Linked DNA regions of Canis lupus familiaris. The protein of the gene in region 3 interacts with the protein of the main gene of each other region in a biochemical or structural test. Links are inferred from orthologs where the notes say so. Each region holds a gene or a part of one and is shown on either strand. Other genes may lie near its edges.

The links.
Region 1: the proteins of GIPC1 (region 3) and LRP2 form a complex in vitro, tested with the Homo sapiens proteins (2 studies listed by BioGRID). The link is inferred for Canis lupus familiaris from reciprocal best matches to the Homo sapiens genes GIPC1 and LRP2.
Region 2: the proteins of GIPC1 (region 3) and RGS19 form a complex in vitro, tested with the Homo sapiens proteins (2 studies listed by BioGRID). The link is inferred for Canis lupus familiaris from reciprocal best matches to the Homo sapiens genes GIPC1 and RGS19.

Annotation. Positions count from the first base shown.
Region 1 is NC_049257.1:14,404,391-14,410,969, reverse strand, and holds the start of LRP2 (low-density lipoprotein receptor-related protein 2), read left to right. Parts: upstream 1-2,211; 5' UTR 2,212-2,253; coding exon 2,254-2,332; intron 2,333-6,579. UniProt on the Homo sapiens protein: Multiligand endocytic receptor. Acts together with CUBN to mediate endocytosis of high-density lipoproteins. Mediates receptor-mediated uptake of polybasic drugs such as aprotinin, aminoglycosides and polymyxin B.
Region 2 is NC_049245.1:48,360,856-48,367,421, forward strand, and holds the start of RGS19 (regulator of G-protein signaling 19), read right to left. Parts: upstream 4,369-6,566; 5' UTR 4,315-4,368; intron 3,989-4,314; exon of another isoform or gene 3,869-3,988; coding exon of another isoform or gene 3,866-3,868; intron 3,543-3,865; exon of another isoform or gene 1,622-3,542; 5' UTR 1,554-1,621; coding exon 1,524-1,553; intron 1,350-1,523; coding exon 1,228-1,349; intron 308-1,227; coding exon 233-307; intron 156-232; coding exon 1-155. UniProt on the Homo sapiens protein: Inhibits signal transduction by increasing the GTPase activity of G protein alpha subunits thereby driving them into their inactive GDP-bound form. Binds to G-alpha subfamily 1 members, with the order G(i)a3 > G(i)a1 > G(o)a >> G(z)a/G(i)a2.
Region 3 is NC_049241.1:48,541,903-48,548,298, forward strand, and holds the start of GIPC1 (PDZ domain-containing protein GIPC1), read left to right. Parts: upstream 1-2,229; 5' UTR 2,230-2,323; intron 2,324-2,827; 5' UTR 2,828-2,882; intron 2,883-4,525; exon of another isoform or gene 4,526-4,574; 5' UTR 4,575-4,668; intron 4,669-6,396. UniProt on the Homo sapiens protein: May be involved in G protein-linked signaling.

The sequences.
Region 1 (6,579 bases), on a different chromosome or scaffold from region 3:
GGCCCCGCATTCCCATCCCCGCCCTCTCTCTGCTCCCCTCCCTCGCGTTCTCGCTCCATTCTCTGCGCCCCCCCCCCCACCCGCGTTATTCTGGGATTAACGGCGGGGTCGGCCTCAGACACAGGCGCAGCTGGCTCCTACGGTCAGCCCGAGCCCTGCTGTGCAACCACGTCAGGAATTCCAGCAAGTTGGCAACACTGGAGCACAAAGACAGTAACAATGGGGAAAACCCTTCAGTGCAGAAAGGAATGTTCGGAGCCCTGGCGGCCGCAGTGAAAGGACACACACTCACACACTCACACATGCACTCGCATGCACGCGCGCCCTCCCGCCCCCCACACGCCCACGCGCGCCCTGGGCGCCCCCAGCCCCTGGCGCCCGCCGCAGCTCTCCGTGGCCCGCGGTGCGGGGACGCTCAGGGACTGCAGCGCGGCCCGGGCGGGCGTCGGGGCCGCCTGACCCCGGCGGTCTCGTACCACCGCCCCGGGCGCCCGGAACCGGCATAAATCACCCGCGGAGACCAAGTGCCGCCCGCCGCATCCTCCTCCCCTCCCGGACCCCCGCGCCCCCCGGGCCCCCAGTCCTGCGTCCTCCTCGGCGCGGAGCCAAGTATCGTTCCGGTGACTCGGGGCGGAGCAGGGACCTCTGGGTTGCCCAGTCCCGGCATCTCGGAGAGAGAGCGCGAGCGGCTGCCGCAGCCCTGCTCTCCCTCGGTCCGGGTTTCCTCTCTCCGCGTCTGTTTGTCCCCCTTTTTGTCTTTCTAAAGTAACACCTCGGTTCCCCCTCCGTCTTCCCTGCAAAGTGCAGCAGTCGCCGGAGCCCAAGGAGGTGCGCGGTCCGTGCTGCCAGGGGCCAGCAGAGCCCAGACGCCGGGGCTCCGGGGACGGGGGTGGCTGACGCCGGCAGGCTCTCGGCCCCGGAGAGGCGAGGCGGCGGCGCCCTGCCCGGGTCTCTAAGTCAGCGCGGGGCCCCGGGTGGAGGGACCGGGCTCCTGGGGCCCCGCCGCCGGGCTAATGCAGAGCCCAGCACTGGGGGGTGGGGCGCGCCCCGGCCCCTTCCCACAGACAGGGATCCCCGGGCCAGGGAGTCAGTGGCCTCCCCCTTTTCCCCTGTCGGCCCTGGTGTCACGCCCCGCGCGAGGACGAGGCTCCGACGGTGAGGTTCGCTCCGAGGGCTCTTGGGGGCCGGAGCCCCCGGGCTGTGTCCAACGCTGCCTTCTAGGAAGGAGCGGCAGGGCTTTCTCAACGCCCTCGTATAAAGAGGCGCCAGTACGATCGCAAGACGTTCCTTCTTTGCAATTTTGCTCCAAATGCCAGAGATTTGTAAGAAACGCGATCTGGCGGCGACACGTGTGTCTCTTCTGCTTAAGACAACGAAACAAGGATCCCACCCTCCCCCCAACGTCGATTTACGCCTCTCTGTAAAAAACAGTGAACACCCCATCTCGGGGTCTCCACTCTATGGGGGGGGGACCGGGGTGTCCACGAAGCCTAGGGATTTCAGGCTAGAGAATGGTCACAAGTCCCCCCCCGCCCCGCAGGCTCTTAGTCCCTCTAATTCCGCCCCCCCCCCTTCCTCCTCTTATTTTTCTTCCTTTTACGGGCTGCCTCGCGGACCCCTTCGCGGGGAGGCTGGGGCGCCGCTTGGCCGTGCAAGTGTCGGGCGAGCGCTCGCCCGTGAGCGTGAGACTGCGAGGGGTGTGCAGACGCTGCGAGCGCAACTGAAGTGTGCGTGCACGTGTCGGTGTTTGTGTGAGTGTGGGATGCGCGCACGCGCGCGCGTGTGTGTGCGGCCTCGGAATGTGCGTGCCGGCACGCCAGCGGGCGTGCGAGAGGGACTGGCAGGTGGCGTGACCGTGAGGGGAGTGCGCGACTGTGTGTGTGACGCTGTGTGAGGACGTGTGCGAGTGTGAGCGCACGTGTGTTCGAGTCCCTCGCGCTGCCGGCGCCGCGAAGCGCAGGGGGCGGGCCGGGCGGCAGGGGGCCTGCCCCGCCGGATTCCCGCATGCTAGTTCCGGGGCGGCCGGGTCTCCGGGGCTTTCTGCGCGGTCCGGAGGGTGGGGACTGGCGCGGGTAGAAAACGGGATGCCCCGGGCGCCGGGCCCGGCTTTCCGCCGCTAGGAGCCGGCCGAGGCGCAGGCCTCCGGGAGCGCTCGCGGGCAGAGGCGCGGCGGCTGCGGCGGCGGCTGCGGCGGGCTCCGCGCGCCCACCTCCCGGGGAAGGAACGGCGAGGCCGGGCCCGGACGGCGCGGGGATGGAGCGCGGGGCGCGGGCCGTGGCGTGCACGCTGCTGCTGGCCCTAGCCGCCTGCCTGGCGCCGGCCCGTGGCCAAGGTAAGCGCCTGCCCGCCCGAGTTCCGCGCACAGCCCGGCACCACCCCGGCGGCGGCGGCGGCGGCCCGGGTCCGCGAGCGCACTTGCGGGGACCGCGGCCGGGCGGGGGCGGGGGCGGGGGCGGGGGCCGGGGCAGGGCGGCGGCCCCCGGGCGGCTCCCGCCGGGGCGCTCAGGTTGCTCCGCCCGGGGCCAGCGGGAGCAGCCCTCCTCCGCCCGCCCGCCCGCCCGGCATCCGAGCGGCCGCAAACCTGAGAAAGTAGCCCGGCCGGTTTCGGTGACAGCGCACCCCGCGGGGACCCCGTCTTTGTTCCGGCGGGACTTTGCCCCCGACCGTGTCGGGAGCCCCTGTGCAGCTGGAGCCCGGGGGCTGGGGTCCCCCCGGCCGGCGCGCAGTGGGCTGGGCGAGCGCGGAGGCTCCCGGCGGGGGGCGCGGGGCGGGGGGTCCCGACCCCCGCGGCGCTGCCCGGCGCGCCCCCCGCCACCTGCCGCGCTCCCCCGCGGGAGCAGCCCCCCTCCCCGGCGAGGCGAGGCGAGGCGAGGCGAGGTCCCGCGGCCACCCTCCGGGGAGCGCGTCTCCTTACAGATGCTTTACGAGCCCAGATGAGGCCGGGAGGCGGGATTGGCGCCGAGAGCCGCACCGCCGCTGGGGCGTTTTCTGGAGGGGTTTCCCTTTTCAGCCGGGGGTGGGGGGGCCGGGGGTGGGGGGGCTTTTGTGTTGCTGAATGAGGCCGCGTCTGCGCGCCCGGAGTTTTCAGGGCTCGAATGGAGGAAGTTTCTGGTAGGAAGCCCTTGAGAAAGCCTCTCAAGTTGTCAGAGGTTTACGAGTCTACAGGAACGGGCCGAGCAAAGAAAGGGAGGAAGACGTGGAGGGGGTAAAAGGGAGTAAAGGGGGAGAGAGAAGAGGAGTAGGAGCGAGCCGGGAGAGGGGACGGGAGCGGCAGGGCGGCGCGCTCCTGGGGGGCGGGGGCGGGGGCGGCGGCGGCCCGGGATGAATGGGAAGCGCGCGGAGGCGGCGGGGGCGGCGAGCTGGCTGCGGGCTTCGCGTTGCTAGGTAGCGGCCCCGAGCTGCGTGTGACCGACCACCAGACAGACAGAGCGGACGCCGCTGCCTGCGCGGGGGCTAATCTGTCTGTGCGGATGGGAGCGCTCTCCCCCCACCCCGTCCCCCCTCCTGCTCCTTCCTTCCCGTCCGACAACTTAATTGCCCTACAATGAAAATGAAACCCCTATTGTGGTAGGATTAGCCCAAGCAATAAATTGATTTCCCTGGATCACATATTGGGGTTGATGGGTGGGGACTGTAGAACCCGCCCCCCCCACCCCCCCATCTACGGCGGAGAGAGGGGAAAGCCTGTGGATGGGCCGTGGCTTGTATTCAGATGGTTAATCTGCTTTCTTTCCTCAATTCTTAGCGTAAGCTCCTTAGAGGGAATCAACTAAGTAATTATACAGCAACTCCTAGCAGTACCCATTTCAGACTTCCTGGGAAGAAGTTTGGAAACGCCAACAAACCCCACTGGTCTTGTAAAAAAAAAAAAAAAAAGATCTTTGGAAAGGGAGGGGAGGCAGGGGGAGACCGTTAATAATTCTTGCTTTGAACACCTTTTTTTTCTCAGTGTTGGTAACACAGAGAGAGGATTTATTATTACTGCGGAGGCTTTGCCGCCGCGCTTCGGGTGATCTACATCCTACGTCCTAAATATAGCCATAGGATTTACTATATGTTCCTGTCAGTGCCTGGCAAGGGGAAATCTTGTCCGCATTCATCTGGGATACATCTGGATTGTCCCCATAGAATGAAAACTGACATTTTCTCCCCTGGATTGGTGGTTTAGTCACCAAATAAACTGCACTCACTCTTCCGTCTTCTATAATAATATGTAATAATAATATGTGCGGTAAGAGGTGCTTATCAGACACTTCTGTTTGCGGCAGGTGCTGTTTTAAGTGCTTTATACTTACTAGTCTTTATAATACCACTTTGATGGTAAGTGTTCTTACTCTCCGCATTTTACTGATGGGAAGTAATGTGCCCTGGGTCATACTGCTAGAAAATGGCAAAGCTGGGAGGCTAATCCAAGGGATTCTGAGTCCAGAGGCTATAATTTAACCGCCCTGGTAGGTGACTCGCTCCTCTATCTGCCCGTCTTTTTTCTTTTGTACTAAAAATGTCACGCTCCCTGGGTTACTACCCATGCATGAGGTTACTAAAGAAGCTGAGTGGCATTTTACAATCTTTGCCACAAAAGGTAAAAATCTACCTGCTGGGCCATAACTCTGGATATTTTTTTTTTTTTTTCAGAAATTCTTTTCAGGTTTCTGTCACCTGACCCCAAGTATCTATCACCTGACCCCAAGTATCCTCACTCTCAGTCTTCCTACTTGTCCCCTGGATAGCCTCAGCCTGGAAGGTTAAGGAGATTTCTAGATTCTTGTTGTATTGACTTATCCTGTTGTAAAGTGTGAGGACACTGTCCTTATTTTAGCATACGTTTTAGGTAAGATCTTCCTGCAGAGTTTGCATCATTAGAAATTGGAACAGAGCTCTGGGTATTTTATGGTTAGTCTTAAAAAAATTATAGCATATCCATAGCTAAAATTATTTGTATTTTCTTCATATTTTGTATAATGCTTTTAAGAAAAATTGGGAGAGCCTGAACTCTGGAGTCAAGCGGTCAGGGTTCCAGCAATGACTTTACCACTTTCCAGCTGTGTCACCCTGGGGAAGTCACTAAACTTTCATGGCTCAGATTGGTTATCTGCAAAATTGATGTGATAACCGGAGAATTTGTTCCATGGCATTTTATTAAAACATAGAGATAAAAGTGCTTAACATGTAAGGCCTCTAGACAGTGATCATAAATGGCAGCAACTATTACATTGACCGACACTGAAGGTAACACTGTTTTTTTTTTTTTTTTGCTTACTATTCATATTTCTAATTTCTAAGTGCACATAAAGAAGTCTTAGGCATTTTTCACTAACATTTCTTTGAGGAATTCCCAGATCCCAGAATATGACTGGAAGTTTTTTTGAGAGAATGGTATCGATTTAAACAAAGTTCTAGTCTGTCCTCCAATAGAAGCTTGGTTATGCCTTTCGTAGTGTCAGCTTTATGACAATTACATCTTCAGGTAAAGTTTATATATTTAAAAGGATGATGGGGGGCAGCCTGGGTGGCTCAGTGGTTTAGCGCCGCCTTCAGCCCAGGGCGTGATCCTGGAAACCCAGGATTGAGTCCCATGTCGGGCTCCCTGCATGGAGCCTGCTTCTCCCTCTGCCTGTGTCTCTGCCTCTCTCTCTCTCTCTCTCTGTTTCTCATGAATAAATAAATAAAATCTTAAAAAAAAAAAAAAAAAAAGGATGATGGGGCCAGTAACAAGCATGCAACATTTTGGTCCTATTACACTCTGATACTGCCCCTGCTGGTCTTATTTCACAGCAGTTGGCTTCTTTTTCTCTGCTTGAAGTTCTTCCTAGCCAGTTTTTTGTAGGGCTTTTGCTCAAACTCCTTTCAATCTTGTGCCTATTCTGTTTTAATGGAAACTTAGGCTCTTACAGATGGAGGCAATCTTAGCTATCAGCTGGTCTACTTGCATTATTTTATAGATAAGCAACTAAACCCTGGAGGAGAGGAGAGGGGATTGAAAGGAGTGAAAGGGGGGAGGTGAAGCCCTTTTCCTAAGGTCATGTGGCCAGAGGTTAGAGCTAAGATCTAAACCCCATCTCCTCTTTGTGTCTTTCTAATTGATCATTTTAAGATACACTTACTTAGAATGTCCTCAGCCTGGTTGGTTGAGGAGGCCTCTAGATAGTTTTTCTGTTGATCCTGACCTGTCATATGAGGCCAACTATGATGAAAAGATCACCTTGGCCAATCCTCTTAAAAAATTGGATAGGTCACATGTCTCAGGTTTAAGAAGAATCTCAAGTTTAAGAGGATAGGTTAATACAGCCATGTACCATGTGCTTTCAGTTTGGTCCAGAATTTATGCCATATCAGTGCTCCAATTTTCAAAGATCATACTTCTGGATCTGTTTTTCAAAATCTTGGGCCATCAAAGCACATTCCTAAGGTCTCCGGGTTTCATAGTACAGACTGCTACGTGAATAGGTTTCTAGTCTTAATTCAAAGTAATTGCTAGGTCATCGTTAATCATTGTCCATGCCGTCTAAGCAGGCACTCCAAGAACACTGACAGGTTTTATTCTACTAAATAAAAAGTGTTTAGTTAAAAAAATTTTTA
Region 2 (6,566 bases), on a different chromosome or scaffold from region 3:
CTTTGAGCTCCTCGCACGCCAGCCAGAAGAGCATGTTCTCCTCGCTGTACTCCGTGCGCAGGAACTCCCGGAACACGCCGCGGCCCGCCGGGCTGTGCATCAGCTTGTCGAACGACTGCGCCCAGCTCCGCACCTCCTCGGGGCTTGGCGTGGCGCTGTGGGCAGTCCCGTGGGGAGTCAGGCCCGCGCCCCGCCCGCGCCCCCCCCCCCCGCCCGCGCCGGCCGCACCTACCACGCCTCACAGCTGGGCAGGGGCTGCAGCTTGTTGTCCCGGGAGGCCCGCCACGCACGCCGCCGCTCCTCGTTCCTGGCGCAGACGGAAGGTGGCACGGCCTGCCCGGCGCACCCGGCCTCGGCCCACGCGTGTGCACGCACGGGCCCAGACGCGGGGCGTGAGGGCGCGGGCCGGGCCGCAGCCGGGCAGCCCCCCACCCCCACCCCTGGGACCCAGGCTGCACTCCAGCCCCACCCCTTCCTCTGTCTCCCTGGCCGTCCCCCGCCCCGCGCCCCCAGAGGCGCTGCTCCTGCTGCAGGAAAGCCCCGGCCGGCCCTGCCTGCGTCCGTCCCTCCCCGGGGTCACGACCTCTCAACCCTAGCTCCCACACAGGCCTCCGTTCCTCTCCTACCCCACCCGCTGGACCCCACAGCCGAGTCCTCTGCGAGGCCCGATTCACGACCCCGTCCCCGCTCAGGCCTGGGTGCTCACGGCTCAGCGGGTCCCCCTCCAGGTCCCCACAGCACCCAAGTTGGGCCAGGCCTCTGTGGCACGTGCACGCCCCCGACAGCCCTCCACAGGCCACAGAGCCGGTGACCGTGGGGCCCACCCTAGGGAGCTGCTCGGGACGCTCTCCCCCTCGCCCCCAGGCCGGGGCCCTGCTCGGTGTCCCCCAAGGGCTCCTTGCTCCGTAGGCCCCCGGGGCCAGCTCCGGCTGAGCACACAGGCGGTGGCCTGGCCAGGTGTGCACACGACACGCCCTTGGGGGAGCCGCCGGGCACGAAGGCCTACACGGTGTCGGGGCAGTGGCCACAGTCAGCAGGCCCGGCAGCCCCTGCGTGAGAGCCGTGGGCAGCAGAGGCGTCCTGCCCTCGGGTGGCCCCTGGGAAGGCACCGGAGGGTCTGCGGGCAGGACGCTGGGCCCCAGGTGTGTACCCCTCCCCTCCCCCATCCCCACGTACCAGGTGTGTACACCCCCGCCCCCCCCCCCCCCCCCCGCCGTCCCCACGTACCAGGAGCAGCTGCAACAGCAACACCAGCACAAGCAGCAGGGGTTGCGGCTGGGGGCAGCCGGGGGGGCCGCGTCATGACTGGACATCGAGGGGGGCCGGCCTGCCTCCTCTGGCCCTGCGTGCTGGCGACACGGGGGCCTCCTCAGCTCCAGCCCAGAACCTGGGGCCTGCACACCTCCCCCCGACTCCCCTGGTGTCACCCTTCCGGCCTCCCAGGCAGTCGAGGGTCCCCCAACTCCTCGTCCCCCCGCCCCGGTTCCCACAAGGGGGCAGAGGCAGGGGTGGAGGTGGTGCACCTGCTTCTCAGCCTCATGCGGGGTGGGCATGGGTGGGTGGAGGAGGTCGCCCGGGCTCCGTGGTGCTGGCTCCGGGACCCTCACCACAGCCTGGGGGTCTGAGAAGAGAGGTGGGGGTTCCCGCTGAGAACCTGAGACGACAGTCTCTACTTGCCTCTCCCTCCGCCCAGGAGCCCGAGGGGCCTGCTCCCCTGCCCCCACCTGCACCGGGACTGCGAGCAAGGGCAGGGGCGGTGAGGAGGAGCCAGACAAGATCTCCACAGGAGGTTCTGGGACACCCCCGTTTGCTCGGTCCCTGGGAAGCCGGAAGTCTGGGTTCCTCTTTCTTGGTTTCCGGCTCCTGGCCCCTCCCAAGGGGCCTGGGGGGCCCCAAGAGTCTGGGGCTATCAGCCTAATGCTCCCTCCATTCTGGGTTTTCTGTAGGGAGTGGGCGAGGTGGGGAGGGCTTGCCCCCCCCCAGGTGCCCAGATCTGCCCTCAGCCCCGGAGGGTTCCAGCCTGTTCGCAGCTGCCCAGCCTGCAGCCTGCGTGTGGGGCAGGACTTGAGGGTCTGGGGGTGTGGGGAATGCAGCAGGGCACAGTGAGGAGGGCCAGGCGCCTCGTGGGGGATGCAGGGCTCCTGAGGCCCAGACGCTGCCCCTGGCACCCCAACCCCCAGCGGGCACCTTACCACACCCAGGGCCTCCCAGCCTCCCTTCCCCCAGCCCCACCAGGCGGTGGAAGCCAGTGCAGCCTGGGGTGCCAGTCAGGGAGGGGAGCGGGGAGGAGGGCAGCAATGGGTCGGGGTGTCCAGCTCCCAGGGTCAAGGTGCGGGATCCCCAGACGGGGTGCGGGTCGGCATTGTTTACAATGCCTGTGCCCACGTTTCAAGGTGCAGGCGTGCAGGGGGCACTGGGCCCTGAAGCCCCCAGCGGGGGTGAGGAGCCCGAGCAGCCCCCCAGCCCCCCCCTTCCGTCCCCAAGGCCAACCACGGATCCCAGAGTCCATGCGGATCCCAGAGTCCACACCTGGGTGGCCGATCAGTGCCCCAGGGGCAGTCTGAATGCTTTCCCACCACAGCACCTGCCTCTGCCTGCCCTGGCCGGGGTGAGGACCCCAGGGCCCGGCTGCACCCCCGCACAGCCTTTGTGACCCCCCAGGCCTGCCCCCACCCCCGTCCCGGTGGCCAGCAGGCTCAGGACTTGCTTTCACTTCGTTTTCTCATGTAATTATCACATCACCCCTGGGCCTGTGGCCTTTCAACCCCCGCCTGGCCCACGTGGCCTGCTGGCTGCTGGGGTCTCGCAGGTGGGAAGGAGGGAGCGGCGGGGATGCCGGGGGCGCCGGGAGCCGTGCTCAGAGGTGCAGGGCCTGACTCAGGCACGCTCAGGGCACCCTTGCCTCTGGGGCCTGGGCACGCAGAGGCCCTGCCGTGACCCAGATCTAGGGCAGAGTGTGGGGTCCCCTGGGCTGAGGGCCCTGGCCAGCTGCCTGCTTCCCCTGAAATCATGGACATGGACGGGGAACCCTCAAACTGGGCCCCAGCCCGCCTTTCCTTCAGGGGTCTAGCTTGTAGGGAAGGGAAGGGGTGTGGCAACCCCCGAGGTCTGGTAGCCAGGCAGAGAACTGCTCTTCCTCCTCCGCACCCCTACCCGCTGCGAGTGGGGGCAGGGCCCCATCCCCCTCCACTCCCTGGCACCCCAAGGCTCTGCTCTGAACTGGAGGAGGGGCCAGGTCTGAGGGCGCCCACGTGCTGGGGGTCCTGGAGTGGATGCCTACACTGGCCCGGGGCTGGCGGGGTCTCCTGTTCACCCGCTGTCTCCTGAGGTCGCCCGGGGTGTGCACAGGGCTCCTGCCCCTCCGCCTGGCAGCTGGAAAGGGGCTCGGTCCCCTTTCCCAGCCCTTGGGCTCTGGCCCCCAAGTCTGGGATGGGGGAGGCTGGACGGGCAGCGAGCCTGGCCTCTGGGGACCGAGGCTCCCTTGGGAGCTGCTGCTACTCTGCTCCACAGAAGGAAAAAGAACGTCCCTGAGCCCGCCCAGTCCAAAAAAAGAATAAGAAAATGTGACAATCCCAGAAAAAAATGCCATAACCTTTAGGCGGAGGGTTGACAGGGGCTCCTTCCCCTGCTTCTGGCGCCCCTGCCTCCCCTCGGCCGCCCCCCGCCCCGCCCCCGCCCCGAGCGATGGGTGGGGCGGCCCCGGCCTGGGCCCGACCTCTGTGGCCCGGGGACCCTCGCCCGCCCCCAGGGCCGCGGTGCCGCCGACCCGTCTCCCTCCTCCTCCCGCCGCTGCGGGGTCTGCCCGGGGGGCGCGGCTCCGACTCGGGCCCGACGCCCCCGGGGCCTGGCCGCGCGCCCCACTCACCATCGGCCCAGGGGCGAGGCGCGGGCGGGAGGGCCGGTTCCCGCGGGGCCCCACCCGCTGCCGAAGGGCGCGCTGCAGCGACCCGGGTCCGCGGGCGGGAGGCCCTCCGCGGGGTGTGGAGGCGGCGGGAGCCCCGGTCAGCCCGGCCAGCCCCGAGCGAGCGGCTGCCAGGCGCGGGGCGGGGGCGCGCAGGGCGTCCCGCCGGGCCCTCCCCACCGGGCCGGGGGCGGGAGGCGCGGAAACCGGGGCTCTTCCGGCCCCCCCTTGAGCAATCACTTCCCCGGGCTCCGAGCTGCAGAAAGGGGAACCGGTGGCGGCGCCCCCTCCCCCCGCGCGGGGCACCGGCTCCGCTCCCGCCGCCGCCCGGGTCCACGTGGGCCCGCGGTCCCGGCGGCGCGGTCCGGGCTCCAGCCGCCCCCCCCGGCCGCCGACCCCCCGCGCGCACTCACCGGCCGCGCTCCCGGCCCCGCCGCCGCCGCAGCCCCGCGCACAGGTCCGGCCGCCGGTCGGGGAGGGGGCGCGGGCCGCAGTGCGCAGGCGCGGGCCGCACTTCCCCAAAGCGCGGGGCCGGGACTTCCTCGCGCGGGGAGGCGTCCGGCCCGCCCCGCCCCGCGCACCCCCGCCCCGCCCCCGCCCCGGGCTCCGCGGCCTCCCGAGGAGGCGGGTCCCCGCACCTGCAGCCCCGGGCGCTCCCGCGGGGGCCCGCGCCCGCCCTCCCGCCGCCGCGCGCCCCAGGGGCCCTCGGCCCTCCCCGGCCCCGGTGGTCGGCGCGCCCCGGCCCTGTCGAGGGGCCCGGCCGCCCCCGCCCCCGCCCCCGCCCCCGCCCCCGCGCCCAGGCCCCGCCGCTGACCCGGTCACTAAGCACAGCGCTCCGGGACCCCCACGCGGAGGGCCGACCTCCCACGCGCCTCGCTCGGCGGTGATGGGTGCCCCAGAGGTGGGCCCGGCTGCGCGCACGGACCGCGGGAGCCCGGGCTGGAGGTGCGCCGGGGGGGGGGGGGGGGGGGGTGCCGGGATGCTGGGGTGCCGGGGTGCTGGGGTGCCGAGGTGCTAGGATGCCAGGGTGCTGGGATGCCAGGGTGCTGGGATGCCGGGATGTTGGGGTGCCAGGATGCTGGGGTGCCGGGGTGCTGGGATGCCGGGGTGCTGGAATGCCGCGGAGCTGGGATGCCGGGATGCCGGGGTGCCAGGGTGCCAGGATGCTGGGGTGCCGGGGTGCTGGGGTGCCGAGGTGCTAGGATGCCAGGGTGCTGGGATGCTGGGGTGCCGAGGTGCTAGGATGCCAGGGTACTGGGATGCCAGGGTGCTGGGATGCCAGGGTGCTGGGATGCCGGGATGTTGGGGTGCCGGGATGCTGGGGTGCCGGGGTGCTGGGATGCCGGGGTGCCGGGATGCCGGGGTGCTGGAATGCCGCGGAGCTGGGATGCCGGGATGCCGGGGTGCCGGGGTGCTGGGGTGCCGAGGTGCTAGGATGCCAGGGTACTGGGATGCCGGGATGCAGGGTACTGGGATGTCGGGATGCCAGGGTACTGGGATGCTGGGGTGCCGGGATGCCAGGGTGCTGGGATGCCGGGATGCCGGGGTGCCGGGATGCCAGGGTGCTGGGATGCTGGGGTGCCGGGGTGCTGGGGTGCCGAGGTGCTAGGATGCCAGGGTGCTGGGATGCCAGGGTGCTGGGGTGCCGGGGTGCTGGGATGCCGGGGTGCTGGGATGCCAGGGTGCCAGAGTGGTGGGATGCCGGGGTGCTGGGGTGCTGGGATGCTGGGGTGCCGGGATGCCGGGATGCTGGGGTGCCGGAATGCCAGATGCCAGGTTTTTGGGATGCTGGGGTGCCAGGGTGGTGGGATGCTGGGGTGCTGGGATGCCAGATGCCGGGATTCCGGGATGCTGGGATGCTGGGTTGCCAGGATTCCGGGATGCTGGAGTGCTGAGATGCCGGGGTGCTGGCATACTGGGGTGCCGGGGTGCCGGGATGCCAGGGTGCTGGGATGCTGGGATGCCGGGGTACTGGGGTCCTGGAGTGCTGCAATGCTGGAGTGCTGGTATGCTGGGGTTCTGGGGTGCCAGGATGCCGGGGTGCTGCGATGCCAGGATGCTGGGATGCTGAGGTGCTGGGGTGCCAGGATGCTGGACGCCGGGGTGTTGGGATACTGGAGTGCCAGGATGGTGGGATGCCAGGGTGTTGGGATGCCAGGGTGCCCAGATGCTGGGGTGCCCAGATGCCGAGATGCTGGGGTGTTGTGGTACTGAGGTACTGAGATGCTGGGGTGCCGGGATGCTAAGATGCTGTGATGCTGGGGTGCCAGGATGTTGGGGTGCTGGGATGCCGGGATGTTGGGGTGCCGGGATGCCGGGGTGCTGGGGTGCCAGGATGCTGGGATGTTGGGGTGCCGGGGTGCTGGTGTGCTGGTGTGCCGGGATGCTGGGGTGCTGGGATGCTGGGGTGCTGGGGTGCCAGGGTGCTGGGATGCTGGGGTGCTGGGATGCCGGGGTACTGGGGTGCTGGGATGCTGGGGTGCCGGGATGCCAGATGCCAGGTTTCTGGGATGCTGGGTTGCCAGGGTGGTGGGATGCCGGGGTGGTGGGATGCCGGGGTGCTGGGATGCTGGGGTGGTGGGATGCTGGGGTGCCGGGATGCTAGGGTGATGGGGTGCTGGGATGCCGGGATGCCAGGGTGCTGGGATCCTGGGGTGCCTGGATG
Region 3 (6,396 bases):
TGTGTCCTCATGATTAGATCCAGGTTAAGCACTCTGGACAGGACCAAGTACTCTACAGGTGATGTGTCCTCAGCACATCACAGGAAGGGGCATACGAGGTTAACTTTGTCCCATCACTGGTGATGTTACTTTTGGTCACTTGGTTAAAGTGGTGACTGCCCGGTTTCTCCCTGGTGCTTTTTCCACGGTATCTTTCCCCCACTGTAATTAACAAGTAATTTGCAGGCTGGTCCTTTGAGATTGTGTGAATATCTACTTCCTCCACTGAGGATCCTCGCCTGCATTAATTATTTCTCTACTGGCTGCAAAATGGGGATTTTCCAACTCAGTCTTTCCTTCTGCGTGTATTAGCTGGCATTCCAGATGTTTTTTTCCAAAGGGGACAGAGGTAGTAACACTGAAGTCTGAGCTCCCCAGCTTCTGGGCCTACTAGCCCTTTGAACTATAAAATTGGATAAAGAGTGGCTTGCTCTGTACCCTTGGGCAACACCCTCACCCCTCCTTAGGCACTTCCTCATCAGTCAACAGGTGGATTCAGGTGGATTCTGCTCAGGACTCTGCTGTCCCCATGGCCCCACATATTGTCCTCTTCGGGTTTGTAGAGGGCAGCTCAGATGCCAGGCACAAGCAGGGCAGTGGGTACAGTCCCACAGAGGCCCAGCCATAGCAACTGATCACTCAGTGGGGATGGCAGAGGTCAGCAGAACAGGAAGAGAAGGACAATAGCGGTGCCTGTTGCATCAACAGTGGCAGCGTTTGCCAGCTGGGTGGGGCCAGACTCGCAGCCCTCAGCAGCTAAGCCGGCCCCGCTCTCCTCTTTCAGTTTGCCTCTCTGTAGGCCCCGGTGGGGCTGGGATGCACAACAGCTCACCCTGGGGACTGCAGAGACCCAGTCATTCAATGAAGCCTGAGCAGAATTGCAGCTGTTAGAGGCCTCCAAGAACTACAATTCCCAGAACACACAGCAAGCTCCTGGTCCAGCCCCAACTGCCCCAGAGGCTGGCTTTGAAGTAGAGCAAGGATAGCTCATCTGTCCTGGGAACTGAGCATCCTGGTCTGTACAAGGTGCATCTGTGTCTTTGTTTCTTGGACCTACCCTTGCCTGAGACATCCCAGTCTCGGGGCCTCACCAAACCTGGTGATGGCGAGGTCACCTGGTCCTCTCATTCACACAAGTGCTCTGAGAGGCTGCTCACTGCCAGTCTCAGGACCCCAGCAGGGGTGAGGGGGCACTTAGATGGAGGAGACAGCCTCATGAAAGGGCAGAGGCTCGGAATGGTTGGGGACCCTTTACAACCTAGCACATATTATGTGTTCAGTAAATATTCACTGATTTAACCAACAAGCGAGCAGTCCATCTCGATCTTGTCTTCCTTCCATGCACCCTTTCACACAGTTTTGCTAGCTCCTAGGATATTGCACTCTCCCAAAATGTGTTGTATCTCTCAGTCCAGCTTTCAGGCCTTCTGCACGAGCTGTTACCTCCACCAGAAGCACATTCAGCTTATTCGCTTTAGTAGCTGCAGACGTAGGACAGAGCCTGGCACGGAGCAGGGGCACATGAAATATTTGACGAGTGAGGGAATGAATGAATGAATGAATAAATGCCCTTGTCCATTGTACACCCCAGGAAGCAGGGACACTCGGGACCCTCCCTATTCATCTCGCTCCTCCGCCCGCTCGCCCGCCCGGAATGAATGCATCCTTTTTATCCGCTCACAGGATGGCCAGGCTGGGGCAGGCGCAGACAGGGAGGAGGACTGGGATCGGGGGCTGCCCTCGGCCCCTTCCTAGGTCTCCTAAAGGGTCAGCTCTTCCGGACGTGGCGAGTTAGCCTCTGCCCGAAACTCGGCCCGCGTCACCTGACTCCCACGACCGGCCCTCCCGCTCCTTACCACCCTGGACACCCCAGACGGACACTCCGCCGGCAGCACGTGGGCCAGGGACCCCAGCTCCCCATTGGTTGCTCGCCTCCTTCCTTCCCCGCGATTGGCAGGGGCCCAGCCTCAGGTCCCCCCTCCGCGCCCTGCGGTGGTACAGCCTGCCGCGGCTTTCGGCAGGGTGGGCAGGTCCACTGCGCCGCGGCGCGGGGGGGCCGGGAGGAGCCGGGCGAGGCGGAGGGATCCCTCTGGAATGCTTCCGTCGGGCCCACCCGGCGCTGGGCGGCGCGGCGCGGATTGGCCACGGGCGTCGGGCGGCCGCTCCTGATTGGCGCGCTGCGGGCGCTGGCCCCGCCCCCCGGCCGCGGCTGCGGGAGAGGCCCGGGCCGGAGTTTGCGGAGGGCCGAGCCCGGAGCGCGCGGGTGGCGGCGGCGGCGGCGCAGGTGAGTGTCCCTGCGGGCGGGGCACGGCCGCTCCGGGGACCCCAGCGCGGGCCCGCGGGGTCGCGGACCCATGGGGATCCGGCGGATCGAGCGAGTAGCGGGGGGACGGCCCCGGGGTCGCTGCTGGAGGTCTAGGTTGGGCCCCAGGATGCCTGAGGCCCCTTCCCCCGGAGGCGCCCATCTTCCCGCCGGGGGCCGGGGTCAAACACCTCCCGCCTCTGAGATGGGGTCGGCAGCCCACCCTGCCCCCTGCACTGCCCTGGACAGCCCCGTCCCGGCGGGCTCGGCATTTCTGAGTCCTGCCCGGGCACCTCCCTCGTCCCACCTTGGCCTCGACGCGGCCCTCCAGGGCCGAGAGAGGGACCTGGAGAGGACTGAGGTCCCGGTAATAATCATGAAAAAATCACCCCCGGCTAGCACTGACTGGACGCTTCCGTGTCAGGTATTTACCATGCACATCGTTGCGTCCAAACACCTCATGGAAGGTGCTGTTACTTCTTTTAGAGGTGAAGCAACAGACCCGGAGAAGTGGAGTGACTTGCCCAAGGTGACACAGCTAGTAAGTGGCAGGGCTGGAACTCGAACCCGTGCTTCGGAGTCCAGAACTGGAGTCTCAGCCGCTAGACTAGATGGCTCCATGGATCAGTGGCCCAGTGGCTCCGTGGCTCAGGTGTTCCCGACCAGCTCCTCTGCCCGCTGCTGCCTGCATCCCCCAACCATGCATGTATCTGGGCCACACCTGCTGGTCTTTGCTTCCCCCCAAGAGGTCCCCGGACACCAACCCTGTCTTGCCTCCCCGGACCTGGGAAGGCTTGCCTGAATACCTAGGTCCTAAGAAGAGAGTGACATCTGCAGGGGACATAGGAGGCCTGGATGCTGGGGTCCTTTGCCCACTGGGCCCCTCTGGAAAGCCTGCGCTGAGGCCCAGGCAGTAGGCGTTCTCCCCGGAAACACCCGGGAGCCGGTTTTTCAAGACTGAATCAGAGGCCTCCCGCCTCCCTGCCTCCCGCCTCCCGCCCTCCCCTCCAAAGCAGTATCCTACTAGAAAGGGGAGGTTGGGTGTGGTGTCTCTCCCCCCACCCAAGCTTTTGTCAACTCCCAGGAACTCCCCTCCCCACTTCCTGCTGCCCTCACTGTGATTCTGCTTGGTGGTGGGGTTGCTAAGTTTCAGGCCCCTCCCAGGGAAGCGAGGGTGGGGATGCTAGGATTCCAGCCAATGCGCTTGGACCCCCGGCTGACACTTTTTCCACCATCCCTATGTTCAGGTTTGAGGGGACACTGGGAATGTGGGGAGGAAGTGTCAGTTAGCAACCCCACAGCAGGCATGTTCTGAGGATAGGAGGGCTCAGAGAGGAGTCTGAATGAGGACACGAGGCACGCACACCCGTCCATTCTGCAAACATTTACTGAGCACCTCCCATGGGCCAAGCACTGTCCTTGGCACAGAGGGCATAATAGCAAACAAGACAAAAATCCCTGCTCTGTGGGAGCCGCCGTCCTAGTGGGGAAAAGGGCAGCAAGCAAGTTAACAAGTAGATAAAGACAGTACCCGCGGATGGTAGTAAGTGCGTGTGCTATGAATAAAATATGAGGGGGGTGGCCGGGTGGAATCTGTGGTAAAGGGGGTGGCTTTTGGAGGAGGCGACTTTGGAGACAAGATCTAAATGACAGAAAGAAGGTGGCCCAGCAAAGGTCAGGCAGGGGGCCCAGCCTGGGCAAAAACTCTGAGGCTGGATGGAGCTTGGGATAGTGTGTGGGGGCACGAGCTGCCGCCAGAGTGGCAGTTCTGCAGGGGCCTGTGGCTCATATTAAGGAGTTTGGGGCTTTTCCTCTGTAAAGGTAGGAGACCGCTGTAAGATTGGAAGCCGGGGAGTGACGTGATCTGGTTTACATTTTAAAATAGAGACACGAAGTGAAATAGCAGCCTGGGACTGAAAGACAAGAGTTCTGCCGGGATAATGTGTAATTAAGTTCATGGGCCTTGAGCTGTCTGGACCACAGGGGCAGTTCCAGCAGGCTGGGGCAAGCCAGGGAGGCTGCCTGGAGGAGGCCACCTAGACTAGGCCTCCGCGGACAGCAGACAGCAGAAGCACAGACTGGGATGTTCCTGGGCGGTGGGGGGGGGGGGGGTGGGGTGGGCAGGGGAGGAGGCCATAATAATAATGACAATACTAGTAACAGTTTTCTTAAATTGAATGTCAGGCAAAATGCTAATCGGGTTGTCTGCACAATCTCTTTGGATTCCCATAAGCACCTGGAGAGAGACAGGAATTCCACCCATTTTTCGACTGAGAAAACTGAGGCTCCATCACATGAAGTGACACTTGCCCACGACCACGCAGCTGGTAAGTGGCAAGGATGGGATTTGAACCCAGGCCACCCTCCTTGGAGCTCAGAGAAGTTAAGATACTTGCCCAAGGTCACACAGCTAATAAGTGGAGAAACCAGGTTCCAGACTCATGTTCTCAGCATCCCGCTAAGATGTATGAGGGGCAGCAGGAGGAGAACAGGGGAGGTGATGATGAGGGGTTTGGTTTGGTTTGGTTTGAAGCATCACTGAGTGTGTTGTAATAATCTGAGGGGGCAGTATGGGTTTATTCATTCAGAATTTGTTTTTTATCAGATATTAGGTGAATGCTTAGTGTGATGTGTGCTATGGTTAGATGAAGTAATCAATAAAAGACTAGTATCCCAAATATGTAAACAATTCCCAAAAATCAATAAGAAAAAGATAAAGGCAGGGCAGCCCAGTGGCTCAGCAGTTTAGCGCCACCTTCAGCCCAGGGCTTGATCCTGGAGACGCAGGATCGAGTCCCACATTGGGCTCCCCGCATGGAGCCTGCTTCTCCTTCTGCCTGTGTCTCTGCCTTTCTCTGTCTCTGTGTCTCCCATGAATAAATAAATAAAATCTTAAAAAAAAAAAGAAAAGAAAAAGATATAGGCATTACAATAAAAAACAAACTGTGCAATTTTTAAAAATGGGCAAAGACTTAGACAATTCACAAAACGACAAATCCAAGCAGTTAATAAATGTCTTAAAAGTTGTTAAGCATTACTCAGTGGTTGAGCGTCTGCCTTTGGCTCAGGGCATAATCCTGGGGTCAAGGGATCAAGTTCTGCATCAGGCTCCCCGCAGGGAGTCTGCTTCTTCCTCTGCCTATGTCTCTGCCTCTCTCTGTGTATGTCTCTCATGAATAAATACAATCTTTAAAAAAAAAAGCTGTTAAGCCTGGAGTGCCTGGGTGGCTCAGTTGGTTAAGCGTCTGACTCTTGATTTCAGCTCGGGTCATGATCTCAGGGTTGTGAGATCAAGCCCCACATCAGGCTCCACACCGGTTGTAGAGCCTGCTTAAGGTTCTCCTCCACCACCACCCCAACCTTTCCCTGCCCCCATGGAAAAAGAAAAAAGTTGTTCAGCATCCTTGATTATGAAGGGAGTGAAAACAAAACCATGATGAAAGGTGAGGGAGAAATCAGTGTGGCTAGAAGGAGCACCTACCCTGTCCCCAGCACTATGCTGGGAAGCAAGGGATGAGGACCACAGGGGGGCGCTTGCTCTTTTGCTGGTGAGACAAGACCCCCTTGGGGCAGGGACTATAGCCTGGGTCCTTCTGTCTCCCCAAAGCCAGGCACAGGGACTGATGGGCTGATGAATATTAGGATCATTCATCTATACGTTCATTCAACAAGTATTTATTGAGCACCTGCTATGCACCAGGCAGTGTTCTCTGTGCTAAGAGTATAAGGATGCATAAGGCAGACAAAATTCCTTGCCTTTCGGAAAACAGCAGACAAGAATAGTGGATGAAATATATATCCCATTGCATTGAAAGAGATGCGAGGATGAGTTGTGTGGATGCCAGAAGGCAGAGTCAAACGCAGAAGCACTGAGCCTAGGAGGCTGAGTGTGCCTCAGAGGGATGAGCAAGGCGGAGAGTGGGTGAAGGTGAGGGCAGGGAGGCCATGGGGGCAGATCTCTTGGGGCCTGTGGGTCGAAAGGAGAATGTTGACTCTTACTCTGAAGGAGGTAGAAGCCCTGGGAGGGGTTGGAGCAGAGGACGGATGTGACGTGA